Linked DNA regions of Macaca mulatta. The protein of the gene in region 2 binds, or shares a complex with, the protein of the main gene of each other region. Links are inferred from orthologs where the notes say so. Each region holds a gene or a part of one and is shown on either strand. Other genes may lie near its edges.

Region 1 (5,717 bases), on a different chromosome or scaffold from region 2:
CCCCAGCTCAGCTTAAGCATAAGATCCTCCATTACCTAACTGACTTCCTTCCCTGGCCTTGGCTTTTGCTTCTCCCCTTACTCTCCCACACCAGTTTTGGAAAGTCCAGTGTTCCCTCCGATAACAATTCCTCCCCAGCAAGGCTTAACAAAATGAAACTTCTGGGCATCCCAGGTCAGACGTCCCTGCTTCTGTGCAGGGACTGTCCCTGCCAAGTAAGTGGCACCCCACCCCCAGCCCGTTTCCCTCCCCGAGCCCCTGCTGGATGGTCCACACAGACCGACCTGCCCCTCTTCATGCTGCATCTGCCCCCGTGCTATTAGGCCATGAGGGCAGAGACCATGTTCTGGCCATGTGCAGCAGGACCTGGCCCGGGACTGGTGCTTAGTACCTGAGTCTGGAATAGAGATGGAATGTAGTAGAAGCTGGGTATCCAGATGCTGGAACATTCAAGGAAAATTTCTCAAGCAAAGCAGGATCCAACCCAGTCCTAGAGCTAAGAGGAGGGGTGCAGGTCTGGCCAGAGGCTACTGACTTCTAGGGCTGAAACACTGAAAGGTTTCTGAATAGAGAAGCAAGTTTCAGGGAGAGGAACCTAATAAAGGGATTGAATACGTGAGGCGGGGAACAGTCCTGGGAGTTGGTGGCCTTAAGAAGGCAGAGGAAGGAGAGGAGGGAGTTGTTGTAACAAGGGGGGAGTTGTTCATTCCTGAGCTGAGCGGGCTGGCACAGAGAACAAATGAGAGTCTGGAAAGGGAAGATGCACAGTACTGAGAACCACATCAGAAGGTTCAGAAGGCACCTGCCACCCTTGCCTGGGGACTTTCCTTCCTGGGGCACTGCGGGGTCCCTGGGAGATCTCTGCATCCAAGTTTGGAGGGTGCAGTGGGAAATCCCTGCTCCCTCTGACGGCCTGGCCTGTGCCTCACAGTGTGGCGTCCAGAACTTCAAACGCCGAGAGAAGTGCTTCAAATGTGGCGTGCCCAAGTCAGGTGAGGCCCACCTACCCCTCGCACTCCCCAGGGCGGGGCAATTGGGGAGAAGGGAAGGTGAGGGGTCTGTGCTCAAGGCTTGGTATAGGGAGGAGGGTGACCAGTCATGGAGCCTCCCCCTTATCACCAGCCTGTCTCCCACCGCCCCTGACAGAGGCAGAGCAGAAGCTGCCCCTCGGCACGAGACTGGATCAGCAGACACTGCCACTGGGTGGCCGGGAGCTGAGCCAGGGCCTGCTTCCCCTGCCGCAGCCCTACCAGGCCCAGGGAGTCCTGGCCTCCCAAGCCCTGTCACAAGGCTCAGAGCCAAGCTCAGAGAACGCCAATGACAGTGAGTCAGTTGTTCCTTCTTCCTCTGTGCCCTAGGGTGTCTGGGCTGGGCTCACCAAGACCAGAGAAATGGCAGTGAGCAGGACCTCATCCTCATGGAATCTCCACTTGGTGCGGGGATAGACATTTGATGTAGGGAGAGCAGAGGGAGTGGCAACATCCTACCTGACTTTGGGGGTGTGTCGGGAAGGTTCTCAGTAGACAGGCAGCCAGCCTGGCACCTGGACCGCCAAGCAGAGTTGATCCCGGAGGAAGCAGTGAGGGAAGCGGCAGTTGCAGAGGCATGGGGGGGTGGGGGCAGAGGAAAGGGAGCGGTGGGGGGCATTGAAGGGCAGGGCTGGCAAGAGTGCCGGGGGCGTCCTCTAACACTGGGCCCCTTCCCACAGCCATCATTTTGCGCAACCTGAACCCACACAGCACCATGGATTCCATCCTGGGGGCCCTGGCACCCTACGCAGTGCTGTCCTCCTCCAACGTGCGCGTCATAAAGGACAAGCAGACCCAACTGAACCGCGGCTTTGCCTTCATCCAGCTCTCCACCATCGTGGTGAGGGCGGCACAGTTGGGGGCCGGGCAGCCAGGGTCCCGGCCCCCAGGGTGGGGAGGAGGGTCCCTTTCCCCAGCCTCCTACCGCGGCCCCCAGCCTGGAAACCGGGCAATGGAGCCGGGGGCCTCCCCGGGCCTGACCCTTCTGTCCCTGCCTCACCTCCTCCCACAGGAGGCAGCCCAGCTGCTGCAGATCCTGCAAGCCCTGCACCCACCACTCACCATCGACGGCAAGACCATCAATGTTGAGTTTGCCAAGGGTTCTAAGAGGTCAGGGCCCCACCTATGTGCCTTCCCACCCTTCCCCTCCCCACCCTCCCACTCCCCCCCACCGCTTGGGGCCTCCCATCTCACTCCCAGTCTCTAACATCCTCCTCAGGGACATGGCCTCCAATGAAGGCAGTCGCATCAGTGCTGCCTCTGTGGCCAGCACTGCCATTGCTGCGGCCCAGTGGGCCATCTCACAGGTACTCAGACCCCTTGTGCCTCCCAGCGTCCTGAGACCTGGGCTTTCTCAACCCTCCTGCACCCTCTCTGAAGCAGGAAGGCTGGCTTGCTATCCATGGATGCAAAACCCTCTCCCAGTAGCTGGCATGGCCATTCTACCTTGCTCCTGGCTCTCTAGACCCCCTGGGACATTCCCCTTCATCATCACCGTAGCTTTCTTCCCAATTGCCTCCCATGCGCTCATGTACGACGCCATTGTGCCTGGCATTCTGTTCTGTTTGGTGGGGTTTTTATTGTCCTGAATTGGTATGATATACACATATCCTTATATGTAATATATACATATATGATATACACATATCATATGTTCCCGAATAAAAATAATGTATAAGTGGTTGAGAGAAAATTGGGAGAAGAGAATAAAGAAGTGAGAAGATGGTGTCTTCCTTGGCCTGACACCCAACACACACACCACACACAGCAGAATCAGCAGAATCAGCCCTGGAACATTTTGGCGTTCGTCTGTTTTTATGTCTTGTGTTTGCCACTGGCCTATTTGTTCTCTTGTGGCCAGGCAACCCTTGCTTTCCACTTGTCTTAGGCTGCATGCTTTTCTGTCAGGTAGAAACACTAGCCCCACGTGTGGGACAGATGCTTCTAGCAGGTTCCCCACCTCCCCATCCCCACACCTTCCTGTTCTAATGAACCCCTCCCACCTGCCCTTCAGGCCTCCCAAGGTGGGGAGGGTGCCTGGGCCACCTCCGAGGAGCCGCCGGTCGACTACAGCTACTACCAACAGGATGAGGGCTATGGCAACAGCCAGGGCACAGAGTCTTCCCTCTATGCCCATGGCTACCTCAAGGGCACCAAGGGCCCTGGCATCACTGGAACCAAAGGGGACCCCACCGGAGCGGGTGAGCCCCAGCATCTCTCTCTGCAGCTGTGGTGGGGGCCAGCAGGCATAGAGTCCCCGGCCCCATTATTCACAGGCATTCTCCCTGCCCTGTCCTTCCTTACAGGTCCTGAGGCCTCCTTAGAGCCTGGGGCTGACTCTGTGTCGATGCAGGCTTTCTCTCGCGCCCAGCCTGGTGCTGCCCCTGGCATCTACCAACAATCAGCCGAGGCAAGCAGCAGCCAGGGCACTGCTGCCAACAGCCAGGTGAGTGAGCCCTGTGGGTATGTATCCCAGGGAGGCAGGCAGGTGGCAGGGGTGGCATGGGCAGACACTGAGCCCTGTTCTCCTGTCTGGCCCCATGACCAGTCGTATACCATCATGTCACCCGCTGTGCTCAAATCTGAGCTCCAGAGCCCTACCCATCCTAGTTCTGCTCTCCCACCGGCCACCAGCCCCACTGCCCAGGAATCCTACAGCCAGTACCGTGAGTACCCACAGCCTGTGGGTAGGGATGGGGAGTTCTTAATAAAGCAGGGAAGAGTGTGACCCCGCTCCCCTCACCCCCTAGCTGTTCCCGATGTCTCCACCTACCAGTACGATGAGACCTCCGGCTACTACTATGACCCCCAGACCGGCCTCTACTATGACCCCAACTCCCAGGTGATAGGGCAGCCCAGAGAGGGCAGAGAGGGATGGGGTCGGGTCAGGTCGCATCGGGGCAGCTGGCCCTGCAGGTTCCCTTCACAAGGTCTTCCCTCACATCCCTTCTTCACTCCTCCTCCCTCAGTATTACTACAATGCTCAAAGCCAGCAGTACCTGTACTGGGATGGGGAGAGGCGGACCTATGTTCCCGCCCTGGAGCAGTCGGCTGATGGGCATAAGGAGACGGGGGCACCCTCGAAGGAGGGCAAAGAGAAGAAGGAGAAGCACAAGACCAAGACAGCTCAACAGGTGAACACCAGGGTCCAGCAGTCACTGGCTGACTGTGTGGTGTCTTCCAGCAGCGGCACTCTGTCAGCTCTCGCCCTCTCCTGCCGAGGGAGATGGCAGGCAGGTGTGGATGTGGGTGGTGACTGCTTAGCAGACCATGCTCCTGCTCCAGCTCTGCTCTTTGCTGAATGGCCTTGAGCCAGAGCAGTCTCCTCAGTGCGTGACAGGGTTGCCCAACTCCAGGAGGTGGCTTGTGCCATCCGAGTAAGCCCTGTCAGGTGTCTTCTGTCCCATGGTGGGGACCCTCACATGCTGCTGGTGGATATGTATATATATGCCAGAGAAATTCTCACAGGCCCATAAAGGAGTGGGCAGGAAAAAAGCCCTGCAGTGTTTTGTGGGAGTGGGCAAATGGAGGGCACCTCAGTGTCTGTCTGTGGAGAAAGGGTGTGACACTGTGAGTGTAGCATTTACAAGCAAGCACAAAGTGTTCCCTCAGCAACCTGGTGAATTCTAAAAATGGTGCTGTGCTGGCGGGGGAAACATGGAAATATAGAATGTGGCATTGTGTCATGCATATAAATTCAAATTATACACAGATAAACATTCCTATGCATTTTAAAATGATAAAATGGAAATGCACAACAAATGTGACAGCGTGGGTATGTGTGAGGGGAAGAGGAGTGTCTTCATCCATTTGCTGCTCTATAACAATACCACAGACTGGGTAATTTATAAGGAAAAGAGATTGATTTGGCTCACAGTTCTGTAGGCAGGGAAGCCCAGTGGTGTTGGCATCTGGTGAGGGCCTTCTTGCTGCATCATAACATGCGCAAAGGGCAAGAGAGCATGCATTAGAGCAAGAGAAAATTGGGCCAAACTCCCCCTTTTTATCTGGAACCCACTCTCAGTGATGGCATTAAATGGAGACTCAAAAGGTGGAGGGGGGCCGGGAGTGGTGGTTCACACCTGTAATCCCAGCACTTTGGGAGGCCGAGGCAGGCAGATCACCTGAGGTCAGGAGTTCGAGACCAGCCTGGCCACGTGGCGAAACCCCGTCTCTACTAAAAGTACAAAAATTAGCCGGGCATGGTGGCAGGCGCCTGTAATCTCAGCTACTCAGGAAGCTGAGGCAGGAGAATCGCTTGAACCCAGGAGGCGGAGGTTGCAGTGAGCTGAGATCATGCCATTGTACTCCAGCCTGGGCGACAAAAGCGAGATTCCTTCTCGAATCATATATATATGATTCATATATATATATATAAAGGTGGAGGAGGTGGGAGAGGGTAAAGGATGAGAAATTACTTAATGGGTATGATGTACATTATTTGGCTGATGGATGCTCTAAGAACCCTGACTTCAGCGCTATACAATCTGTGCATGTAACAAAAGCACTTGTTTATTTTATTTATTTATTTATTTTTTTTTTTTGAGATGGCGTTTCACTCTTATCGCCCAGGCTGGAGTGCAGTGGCGCAATCTTGGATCACTGCAGCCTCCACCTCCTGGGTTCAAGCAATTCTCCTGCTTCAGCCTCCCGAGTAGCTGGGATCACAGGCATCCACCACCATGCCCG
Region 2 (6,512 bases):
GCATGGTAATGAGTTTGGATTTCATTCCAAATACAAATGAGAAGATAGTGTAAGATTAAAAAGCAGATGAAGAGCATGGTCTTATTTTCTTATTTCTTAAAAGACACTTCCCTTGCTGAGTAAACGTAATGGAGGGTTCGAGGGGAGGAGAAAAGGGCAGAAGAGAATCTTGTTAAGGAGGCAGATGACAGTTGTTCAGGGAAAAGATAAGAGCCTTGGACTATGGTGATCCATCGCAGGGGAGACAAAATCAACAGGACTCCACTACACATGGAGGAATCAAAGGTTCTGGTTAGCTCCAGCATCCAGATGAGAAAGATTAAGGTGGAGATAAGATAGAGTTCCGTTTGGCATAGGTCCCATTTTGAAATGCCAGCGAGCCACCTAAGAGGAGATATCAACAGACAGCTGGCTACTCAAAATAGAGATGACCAGCAGAAGGAGCTATAGATGCAGATATTTCCTTGGGGCGGGGGGCCGGAGGGGTGGGACGCATGTAGGGGATTAGCAAGTGGAGGAACATAAAAAGGACATCAGAGCTTTCCACTACACCGGGGTGTTACTTAATAGACTAACACGACATTTAGGTTCTCATGGGTTGTGTGGGCCAGAAGCACAGTTCCAGGAACCGACTACAACATAGTGTGAGATATGATGTTTCTCTTCAAATAACCCGATCAGTCTTTTCTTCTTTAATTCATAGTACCCTCCCCTTTTTCCCTTTTTCTCCTTTTTTTCTTTTTGCCTTTGTTAAATGCCGAGGCACGCCACAATACCAGACGTTATCAATACCAGCTCACATTCCTTTCCTCATTTGAAAAGAGGACTAACTTTCTAGCTCATTACAGACATCCCTTCCCCTTTCCTCTCCGCCTTCTGTTACGTGCCCACCTTATCTAAAAAAAATCAAATGTTTAGCCAAACGGGATTAGTTTAGATTATACGACCCGACCCCAGCCAATGGGAAAAAATATACAGGGGCAGGACTTGGGTCAAAAATAAAGACTCTCCTGCCCCTTTGTTCAGGTGTGCTCTCGTGGCGACTGGCCAAAAAGGCACCCCTCTGCGCAAAAATAAAATTGCTTTGCTAAAAATCCTTTGTTCAAGTATTCAATTTCCTTAAGATTTTAAACGTTATTCATAACAATAGGCTCCTGTTACAGTATTTCCTGATGCGGCATCCCACACCTACAGCGGTCAAGTCACGCCAGGCACTGCCAAGACGCCGAAAATTTCGCCTGCAGCAGACCAGAGGTGACTGAGGGCGCGCAGGCCCCAGCGAGCGCTGCATGCTGGGATTCGTAGGCCGGGGCGGCGGACGTTTGCGCAGCTTCCTTGCGATGCGACCGCCCGCTGCGCCGCGCGGAAACCCGGAGCGCAGCGCGCCCGCGGCCTGCGTCAGTCGGTCAGTGCAGTCGTTCTAAAATCAAGGCGGACCCTGCTTTTTTGCCTGGAGTCGCTTAGAGATGATGACCAAAGGATAAATTCAGAGTCCTCCAAATGGCATCCAGTGTCCATTTCATCACGATTTGGAACCTGTAGTAGCCTATCTCTTAACACTTCCTTATTATTATTATTATTATTTTTTGAAAAAGGGCATTGCTCTGTCGCCTAGGCTGTAGTAATCCAGCGGCATAATCCCGGCTCACTGCAGCCTCGATCTCCCCTGTTCAGCGATCCTTCTGCCTCAGCCTCCTGAGTAGCTGGGACCAACAGGCACGCACCACCACACCAGGCTATTTTTTCCTCCTGTTTATTGTTGAGACGCATCGGGGAGCGGGGGGCGAAGGGGGGTCTCCCTATGTCGCCCAGGCTGGTCTCAAACTCCTGGCCTCAAGCTATCCTCATACCTCGGCCCGTTAAAGTGTTGGGATTACAGGCGTGAGCCACCGGGCCCCGACATTAATTATTCTTCAAGACTATTCTGGGCCGGGCGCGGTAGCTCACACCTGTAATCCTAGCACTTTGGGAGGCCAAGGCGGGCGGATCATCTGAGGTCCGGAGTTCGAGACCAGCCTAGCTAATATGGTGAAACCACATCTCTACTGAAAATACAAATATTAGCCGGGCGTGGTGGAACATACCTGTAATCCCAGCAACTCGGGGGCTGAAGCAGGAGAATCGCTCGAACCGGGAGGCGCAGTGAGCCGAGATCCAGCCCGGGTGACAAGAGCGAGACCCCGTCTCAAAAAAAAAAAAAAAAAAAAAAAGACTATCCTGGTCTCTGCCTCCGGGATGGCGGCTCGCTTTGGACCTCTCTTCTGTGCTTCTATTGCCCTCTCTTACAATTCTCTAATAATTATAATCATGGCGAGTGCTTACCATATATTCCGATCTATTTCCACGAGCTTATTAATTCTCATCCTAACCCTCTGAGATGGTTACTATTATTTCCTCTCTGCAGATGAGGGAATTTTGGGCTAGGGACGTTATGTAAGTTGAGCCACGCTACGCTAAAAGTTCCACGCTTAGTTCCAAAGTCTCAGCTCTGGACTACGAAATTCCGGAGCAGGCGGACAGCCCAACTCTTTAAGTTCCCGCAGGCCACGCTCCGAGGGCGGGGCTCTTGGTGAGGACACTGCATCCCATGGTGCCTTGCGCGCCAGCGCAGTCATTGGTCCGGCTACTCGGTCCCTTTTTCAAATTGAGGCGCCGAGTCGTTGCTTGGTTTCTGGGGCTTGGGGTGGAGACGAGATTGGTGATTTGGCGGCTCCGGCTGGCGCGGGATAAACGCCACGGCCAGAGTACCGGGTAGAGAGCGGGGACGCCGAGCTGCGTGCGTCGGTCCTCCAGGCCACGCCAGCGCCCGGGAGGGACCAGGGAGACTCCGGCCCCCGTCGGCCGCCAAGCCCCTCCGCGCCTCACAGCGCCCAAGTCCGCGGCCAGGCCTTGATTTTTTGGCGGGGACAGTCATGGCGTCGCAGCCAAATTCGTCTGCGAAGAAGAAAGAAGAGAAGGGGAAGAACATCCAGGTGGTGGTGAGATGCAGGTAGGGAGAGGGCTGACAGGATTCCGAGCGCCGGGGCTTCGCTGCTGGGCCCCCTAGTGCGCGGTCCAGGGAGAGGGATTTTATTTGCATTTCCTGAGGGTCCCAGTTTCTTGGTTCTCCTCTTTCTGTTCAATAAAAATGACACCCGGTTGCTTTGTGTGTCTGATTTTTAGCAGAAAATAGTATGTTTGGTTTGATCACTGTTCCATACTGAAAAGTGCGTTATTTTTAAACTATAGTCAATAAAGACTTAGGTGTCACTTATATATGCTACTTCATGTAGTTTGTCCGTTTGGAAGTAAGACTGAATACCTGTTTTGCAGATGGTTTAGCACTTACGTTGGTATTATCGCCTCTAAAAAGCAATCAACCACTGTTCTCTTTATTCTAGATGCAGTATTTTCTGCATCCCTACTAAACAAGTAAACATCTGTCTTTAAACATTAAAAATTAAGTTATAAAGTGAGTTTATGTTTTTTAAAAGATCAAGACAAGCTAAGCTAGTGTAAATTTCTGATTGTGCTACAGTTTTCCCTTTTATCTGCCTGTTTGTTCATAGACCAAATTAAATGGATATTTCGAGATAAGAAGATGTGGAGGGGTGTTCGGCCCTCCCCTGACTCGTTTCCAAATAACTTCCCAATTTTAAAATGAGCTAGAAACTGCTGTTTAGTTAGAATTGATGTATTCAACTTTTTAGAGGCTCTCCACAGTTTACTGAGTTTGTGTTTTGTGTGTCTGTTTTTGTGGCTGTTAACAGTTGCTGTTGCAACTTTTCTGTAAACCCCAAAGTAGTCTAAAATTAAAAGGCTATTTTTTTGGAAAAACCTGTTTCAACAAACTTTCTTAGGCTATTGTTTACTCAGCCCTGGTAACTTCAATTGTAGATATCAAAGGTGATGACTAGGTTTCTAAGCGAGGTGCCAGAGAGGAAATTTGGTGGCAATCTTAAATCTAGCCAGTGACACTTACCAGTTGTTGTACTCTGGGGCTTCTGTTAGTAGTTGTTCTGAAAATTTTTATTTAAAAATGCTGTGCATATAACAAGTGCAAATTTTAAACTTATTTTGGTTGTTTAATAAAACCAGGCAATATTACCTTTTCCGTATGCCTTTATTTGATTTCTTTTTTTAACATTAGTTACAAAATACTTCAGACTTACAAAAGTTATTAAGAACAATGTAATAAACATTTGTATATTCATCACCCAGATTAAGAAACAAAACAATCATTGCTGGAGCCCCCCCTTTCCCCTCTCTATCCCTTTTCCTCCAGCCACAGTTAACCATTATCTTGAACTTGATGTTTATGATCCGCATACATTTCAAGCCTTGCCTTACAGGAGATTTACTTTATCACCAATGAATATAATAGTTATTTGCTTGTGTCTAATATTTACAATAATTTTTGTGTAAAGAGATTTTTTTTTCCACATTAGCCTTTTTCTTTCAAATAGCCTTCCTGGTGCAAGTCTGTTATTAAGCTTTCGTAAATAGGCAACTTATGAGTTGCAAGGCCCTCAGGGGTTGGTAAGCCTTTTCTGAAAAGGGCCCAGAGAAATAAATATTTATTTTATTTAAATACTTTAGACTTTGCAGGTCACATGTGGTTTGTTATTTTTTTTTTTTTTTGAGACAAGGCCTTGCTGTCTCGCTCAGGCCCTAGTGCAGTGGCGCAATCTCTGCTCACTGCAACCTCCGCCTCCTAGATTCAAGCGGTTTTCCCACTTCAGCCTCTCAGGTAGCTGGGATTACAGGTGCACACCGCCATGCCTTGCTAATTTTTGTATTTTTAGTAGAGATGGGGTTTCACCATGTTGGCCAGGCTGGTCTCAAACTCCTGACCTCAGGGAATCCACCCGCCTCAGCCTCCCAAAGTGCTGGGATTATAGGCATGAGCTACTGCACCCCTCCACATGTGGTTTCTGTCACATTATTTTCTGATCTTTTTTTTTTTTTTTTAAAGAACACTTTAAAACTGTAAAAATCATTCTTAAATCTGGCAGGGCAAGGGCCAGGTTTGACTCACAGGTTAAAGTTTACAGATCCCTACATAATGCGCTACTGGCTATCTTTCTTATGCCCCTGCTATTCTGTCCCCTATTTTTTTCCCAATTTAAAAAGTCACTTTCGAATACACATAATATAAAATTTAACATCTTAACCACTTTTAAGTGTACAGTTCGGTGATATTAAATACATAATATTCTGCAACCATTACTACCATCCATCTCCATAACTCTTTTCATCATGAACAACTGAAACTCTATACACATTAAACAATAACTCCCCATTTCCCTCTCCCATCAACCCCTGACACCTACCATTCTACTGTCTATGATTTTGACTACTCTAAATACTTCATAAAATAGAGTCATAATACAGTATTTATCCTTTTGTAACTTGCTTATTCCACTTAGCATAATGTCCTCCAGGTTGGACCATGTTGTAGCAAACGTCTTCTTTTTTAAGGCTGAATAGTATTATATGTATGTATCATATTTTGCTTGTCCCTTCATATGTCAGTGGACACTTGAGTTACTTCTTAATTTTGGCTATTATGAATAAAGTTGCTATGAATATGGGTTTTCAATTCTTTTGGGTATTTACCCAGAATTATAATTGCTGGATCATATGATAATTCTATTTTAAATTTTTTGAGGAACCAACAAACTATTTTCCACAGTGGCTGGACCATTTACATTCCCACCAACAGTGCATAAGGGTTCCCATTTATCCACATCCTCACCAACATTTATTTTCTGTTTCTTTTTTTTTCGAGTAGCCATCCCATTAGGTGTGAGGTGGCATCTCATTGTAGTTTTGATTTGTGATGATTTTGAGCATCTTTTCGTGTGTTTACTGGCCATTTTGTATATCTTTGGAGAAATGTCTAAGTCCTTTGCCCATTTTTATATTGGTTTGCTTTTTTGTTGTTGAGTTTTAGGAGTTTTCTATGTATTTTGGGTATTTTCAGATATATGATCTGCAAAAAATTTTTCCCCATTACTGTGGGTTGCCTTTTTACTCATTGATACTGTGGTCTTTTCCTTTCTTTTTCTTTTTGGAACCAGCGCATGGCCTCTTTGCTGATTCTGTTTGGCCCCAGTGCAGACTGTTCTGTGCTATGTGTCTGCAGTGCTGAAACCAGGCCTACCCTGCACCATGTAGAAGTCCAGGCTGTAGATACCAATGCATGGGTCACATTTGATACCCAAATCTATGTGTTCCTGCATCTCCAAACCAGTTTCCGTATCCGAAAAGTTGCTCTTTATTGATTCACACTCCTGCATCTTTAGGCCTTTCTCCAGGGTTTCTTCTGCTTTGGCCCTTTGTGCAGTAGGTGGCAATCTTTTCATTTCTCCTGATGCCAAAGGATCTGACAATGTATTTGGCTGTGTAATACGGATTACATTGAATCTGTAGATCACTTTGGGTAGTATTGGCATCTTAACAATATTAAGTCTTCAGTTCATGAACAAGGGATGTGTTTCCATTTATTTATGCCCTTTAATTTCTGTCAG
Region 3 (5,717 bases), on a different chromosome or scaffold from region 2:
GTCAAGATTAAAATGTCTTAACTTTAAAATAATCACATTAACAATTCCTTTGTACAGTTCTCTTCGGTTACTCCATTCTCTTGGTTGCTTTTATAATTGGAAAGGAACAAATTTTCTATTTCAGTCAAGAATTCTTCAGCCATAAAGCAATTGGTCACTTTGCTCAGAGTCTTCCTCATACACTCCAAAAGCTAGTTGAAAAGAAAAGTTTTATATTTAAATACAGAAAAAGTATGAGGGTTTGCATTACTATCACGATTTTTTCCCTTTCCAGACCTCACATTTCCTAATGCTCAAATGAGAAACACTCTCCTTAAAAATGGCTGAAGATTAACTTGTGTTTAATAGTCATAGAGCTGGAATGTAGGAAATTGCTGCTGAGGAACACTCAGCTTAGTACCTTTATGATTTTACATAAGGAGACAAACCTGAGATTGTTTATGTGACACTTTCTACTTTGGACATATTTGTGACTTTTCTTCATTTGTAGTCACACTTACAAAGCAAAATAATCCTGAGCATACACACACACACAACTCTATGAACATAAAAACATAGGATTCTACCATTTCAAAATGAGGATGCTAGTTAGAGTCTACTTCCTTGGAAATGTGCATATACTTTTTCAACAACACAGAAAAAAAGTGGATATAACAGAGGAGTAAAAAATATTAAAAAGAAACTTAACGTTTAAATTTTCTATCCCCAACTGCTATTTAAAAAAATAAGACAAATGTTACAAATCTACTAGCCTTCAGTCATTACAGAAGCAAAACCTAGAAGTGAACTGATAGAATTCAAAACTCTTATTTCCTACTAGAAAGTTAAATAAAATGACTATTTAAATGTAATTGTTAGAGTTATACCATCATTCTTAAAAATGATCAATTGTTAAGGCTAAAATGGAAACATGGCACTTTCAAATTTAATAAAATGAGAAAAATGTTCTCCATTGTGTACAATAATAATCTGCGAAGAAATTTATCAGCTGACACTGACAAATTTATTCTAAAATAGTATTTTTTTCTATGTGCAAGCTTGGGCAACAAAACACATTACTAATTATCTCCTAGAAATTAATTTTCCAAAGGAAAAAGTAATAAAATATACAGAAAATTATCCACAAAGTATCAGGCATCATGGGAAAACACATTGAGATAAATAGCTTTAGAATCTGTGAACAATGGAACCAATTAAAATGAAGGCAGCTTACTTTCTGCAAACAAGTCAGGTCAGAATCCCGGCGAAAGATTTTATCCATGGGGACGCTGCTGTAGGAAGAAATATGAAAACAAACTGATGAAACGAATACTATAAACTAATCAGTTTCGTAATAAACTATCACAGATGCCATACATCACAATTTTATATTTAACTTGGGTTTTCTCTGAAACATAATTTAATGAGCAACACTGCAGATGTGCAACCATCTCAAACTACAGTACATACCTATGGGAGAGCCTGTATTTTTCTATTATCCATCTTGTCTTTTCAAATACTAATCCCCACTGAGGTTCTTCTAACATCTGCTGTACTTCAAATTTGTAAGGTAAGCCTAGAAAAGCATAAAGAAGCACATTTTCATCAACTATTTCTTAACTCGCCAATCTCCTTTTAATTATAATTAAAATTCCCTTCAGTGTTTTTACAACCACAGCTTCGTAGACCAGCTGAACAGCACTTTAAACATAGTGGGCATTCATTAAATATTTATTGCCTGACTGTACTTGGTCCACTAAGCATATTAATGCCAAGCTATTAATAATAATAAAGAAGAGTAGAAGTGCCATTTACATGACAGCTCTATGCATGGCACTATGATAGGATGATCATGTAATTTATCACCTAAACCAAGAGACTTTTTGAATGAAAGAAGGTACTATGAATAATTATGCCTGAACCACAGGTTTAAATTAGGATTATCCTAGACAAACTGAGACACATTGCCATCCAAGTGATAATTTAAAAAACACATATATACAGGTTATTAAGCTTACAACAATGCCATATCTTTTTTTTTTTTTTTTTAACAGGTGAGAAAACTGAAGCTGAGATACATTAAAAAACATATTTAGGCTAGCAAAGTGGCAGGACATAGATGTTAAAACCCAGCAGGTTCGCCTCACTTCTGAGCCCAAACTCATTCCACCTCCCTAGAAGAGCTAATCTAAGACTAGACAAGAGGATAGGATGAACTCTAGGGAGGCAGCAACTGCTTTGAGTCAAAGTTGTTACACTAAACTCTGGAGGAAAGAAAGAAGCCCAAGGGGTGGACATCATATATTCATCTAGAAAGGAAAAAATACGAAACAATGAGCTATCTTAGCAATTTTTCACATATCCTTCAAGAGCCCCATGCAAATGTATCTGTAGCATTTTTTTAAAAGCTCAGCTGATTCATTACCAAAGGCTGATACCATCATAGTAACACTTACAATGTGTACTATGTGCCACCTAAAACTTTATGTGAAATCACTTAAATGAAGTAGCTGCCATTATTCCCGCCCAGCCCCCTGCCCTTTTTTTTTTTTTTTTTTGATGAGGACACTACATCATAGAAAAGTTAGCCTGCTCATAATCAGATATAAAGGCATAGGCAGGATTTGAACCCAGGCAGTAAGACTCGAGAGTTCTGCTTTTAACTTTTACATAATACTGCCTCTCAACTGGGTTTCTACCATGATAAGGCTTTTCAAATAAATAAAATGCCAGCAAATCCGAAGTCATGGAAAAAAAAAGGGAAAAATACAACTGTTTCCTCATAATGAAATAAAGCATAGCTTAACTGTCAATATGCTCTAAAAAGGTATTTTTTCAGGTGTTTAGAAGAAGGACAGCGGACAGCAAGCCTGATGATGATGACTGATCTTTTTTATTTAATTGCTCAATTTTCCTCTTCTCCAAAAACTTAAAGAGTGACACATTATAGTACGTGGAGTACTAAGCAAACTCCTTTTGGTGATAACGATCACTTACTTGACATGCTTTGATTACTTACTAAATACGGATACCAGCTATATAATCATAACTATCCATTGAAAACTTATTATTTCTAAGCACTTTACATATATTACTGACACACCTTACAACCATATACCTACTGTAAGCAAGGTAGTAATTTTTTCTCATTTTACAGATATGGCAAAGGAGAATGAGAGAGTAAACTGCCCAAGGTAAAATAAGCAATAAATGTCAGAGCTGGGATCTGATTCCAGTAGAGTGACTCCTGCTCTCAGTGAAAGTTGAAAATGAAAATAAAGAAAGGTAAATAATGCATTTCCAATCTATGCTGATGCAAAAACATGAAAACACACACACAAATCATATACAGGTCTATTTGGTATTTTTAGAATATTTTTTAATTTAAAAAAAGGTACTTTTAAAGTCAATAAAAGTTTCCTTTTATAGAGAATATTTTTATCCACTAAAATATAAGAAAACTAATCACTAAATATATTTCCTCCCTGTCACAAGTAAAGAAAACATTAAACCATTAGAGATATTATAAAGATATGACCTGAGTTAAAAGTACTGTAGCACAAGGTATCCCATGGCTTCTAGAAAACCTTAATTCTTGCACCAGAGGATTTCTAAGGGCAAAGCAAAAGACCCAGGATTAAGATCTAATATGCAGCGTTAAGCGTGGACAAGTCATTTACAAGACAGCTGTGTCCAATGGTAGCTCACGGGAGCATCATGGATAGTTCCCTCTAATGCTTTCAAGTGGTTCTTTCCCATCTGGGCTAGTTTCTTCACATGCATGTGCTGATCTGTATTTTGCCAAATACTCCAGGGATACCCTTCTACAAATCTCCAGAGTTCACTCTCCATTCTGTTTTCTGTTCTCTTGGGGCGCTGTCTCACAAACTCAGCTGTCTTGGTCTCCTTATCTCCATCACCTTAACTGAGTCTGCCTGACTCTGGGTGGGTTTCTCCTTCTTGTGCCATATCTGAAAACCCTCTTAAACAGTAAGCTAGGGTAATTTCGGGCTCTTTTCATTTGTTTCCCATATCTTAGCAACTGCATTCCTTTGCTGCTCAACATTGTGTTTAAATACCATTATTTTATATACTTTGTCCAGTGTTTTGGTAGTTTCAGACAAGTTCTTGTTACTTCATTTGGCCAGAGTAGAATTCCATGAATTAAATTTTAAGTTTCATGTAATTCTAATCAACATACATTTAAAGTCACATGTACTGCTATTGTATTGGACACCACCAGAATTGAGGTTCATTATCAAAACCTAGCAGTCTGTGAGATTATAAAATGATTAAAGAGAGAACAATTGCGATTCTTTTTATAAAACTGTACTGAGCTTAAGAGTATTATGTATTACGTGCTATGCTCAAAATGGACATTCCAGACTAAAGTTAATGCCAATATTATTAACTCAATAAAAACCCACATAGTGTTGACCACCTCCTAGATGCAAAGCAATTTATTAGGTGCTACTGGAGAAAAAGACAAATAAGACATAGTCCCTGCTCTTCGGGCATACAATTTGTTTAGGACTTGCTAAATAGATAAATTGCATTAAAAGACAAAGTGACCATGAAGGGAGGAATAAAGTGTTGCAGATACATAAAAAATAGAGCAACTAATACTAAATAACATAGGGGCAGTGCTGGTAAGTCTTTATAAAATATAAGGCATCCAAGTGAGATCATTAAGAATGAAGAGAAATTAATTATTAAACATTCATTCATTTAGTATCTACTTTATGCCAGGCCTTGTGCTAGAAACTGGATAGAAAAATGGGTACAATACAGTATTTATTCTCAAAGATCTCATGATCTAATGGGAAAGAGTACAATGTGGGGTAACTGTAGTGGCAGCGTCCAGGGGACCTGACCTAGAGCAGTGGTAGTAATGACAGAATATCCTAGAGTTATTTAGCCTATTGTTTCCTCTGATTATTTGCTTTCTAGCCACACTCCCTTCCTTTTCCTAGTCTGCTATACTAATTCCCTATCCACCCAGAAATGACTGGACTACAAGTGGACATAAACCTCGGAGGAATCAAGTCAAATGATGGTCTATGCCAATCAAATTCTTTCCTGAGATACAATGGGAGCAACGAAATATACAAATTGAGTTAGTCATTGTTAACCCCTAAACTGGGAAGTGACAGGGAGTTGGTGGTCATTTTTTTTTTCATTTGCATACCATCACAGAGAAAGCCAGTCTGCATTTATAAAAAAAATTTCATGAGAACAGAGACTGTTTTGTTTACTGCAGTATCTCCAGTACCTAGCATACACACTGCCTGGCCATAACTTTTCCCCATATTTCAATCCTTTTGCCCAGTGGCCATGGTAACAAAAGTGGGGACTTGAATATAGCAGGAGATTAAGAAAGGGAAGAGGGTGGCTGCACTAGGGTGGCACCCAAATAATGATTCCCTAGTTGAGGGCACAAACTCTTGCATTAAATACTTTTGCACAGTTGCAAATCTTTTGATTTGTATGAGTCAAATAAATGAGAGCAGAAATAGGATAAAGTTATTTTTGTTGAAAACTTACGGTAAGAGCCATCTGCGCTAATTTCCTCACTTATAACCAGGCAGGTAATCTGAGAATATGGTAAGGGATTATTTCGATTATAGGGACTAACAATCATTCCAATGAACTTTGCACCTCCTCTGGAGAAGTAGCTCTACAATTACAAGAAAAATATAATTAGTTTCAACTGCATAAACTCAAAAGCCAATATTTAT

What was found. Proteins that work in one complex are often made in the same cells at the same time.
Region 1: KIF11 (region 2) and RBM10 share a complex: the UniProt entries of both Homo sapiens proteins name them as parts of the large chromatin remodeling complex. The link is inferred for Macaca mulatta from reciprocal best matches to the Homo sapiens genes KIF11 and RBM10.
Region 3: KIF11 (region 2) and MYSM1 share a complex: the UniProt entries of both Homo sapiens proteins name them as parts of the large chromatin remodeling complex. The link is inferred for Macaca mulatta from reciprocal best matches to the Homo sapiens genes KIF11 and MYSM1.

The regions. Positions count from the first base shown.
Region 1 is NC_133426.1:47,209,064-47,214,780, forward strand, and holds part of RBM10 (RNA-binding protein 10), read left to right. Parts: intron 1-931; coding exon 932-992; intron 993-1,146; coding exon 1,147-1,323; intron 1,324-1,708; coding exon 1,709-1,869; intron 1,870-2,040; coding exon 2,041-2,138; intron 2,139-2,247; coding exon 2,248-2,335; intron 2,336-3,042; coding exon 3,043-3,229; intron 3,230-3,334; coding exon 3,335-3,474; intron 3,475-3,576; coding exon 3,577-3,694; intron 3,695-3,778; coding exon 3,779-3,870; intron 3,871-3,997; coding exon 3,998-4,162; intron 4,163-5,717. UniProt on the Homo sapiens protein: Binds to ssRNA containing the consensus sequence 5'-AGGUAA-3'. May be involved in post-transcriptional processing, most probably in mRNA splicing. Binds to RNA homopolymers, with a preference for poly(G) and poly(U) and little for poly(A).
Region 2 is NC_133414.1:104,552,596-104,559,107, forward strand, and holds the start of KIF11 (kinesin-like protein KIF11), read left to right. Parts: upstream 1-2,580; 5' UTR 2,581-2,912; coding exon 2,913-2,989; intron 2,990-6,512. UniProt on the Homo sapiens protein: Motor protein required for establishing a bipolar spindle and thus contributing to chromosome congression during mitosis. Required in non-mitotic cells for transport of secretory proteins from the Golgi complex to the cell surface.
Region 3 is NC_133406.1:181,980,476-181,986,192, reverse strand, and holds part of MYSM1 (deubiquitinase MYSM1), read right to left. Parts: intron 5,657-5,717; coding exon 5,524-5,656; intron 1,556-5,523; coding exon 1,450-1,555; intron 1,272-1,449; coding exon 1,214-1,271; intron 192-1,213; coding exon 37-191; coding exon of another isoform or gene 33-36; exon of another isoform or gene 1-32. UniProt on the Homo sapiens protein: Metalloprotease with deubiquitinase activity that plays important regulator roles in hematopoietic stem cell function, blood cell production and immune response.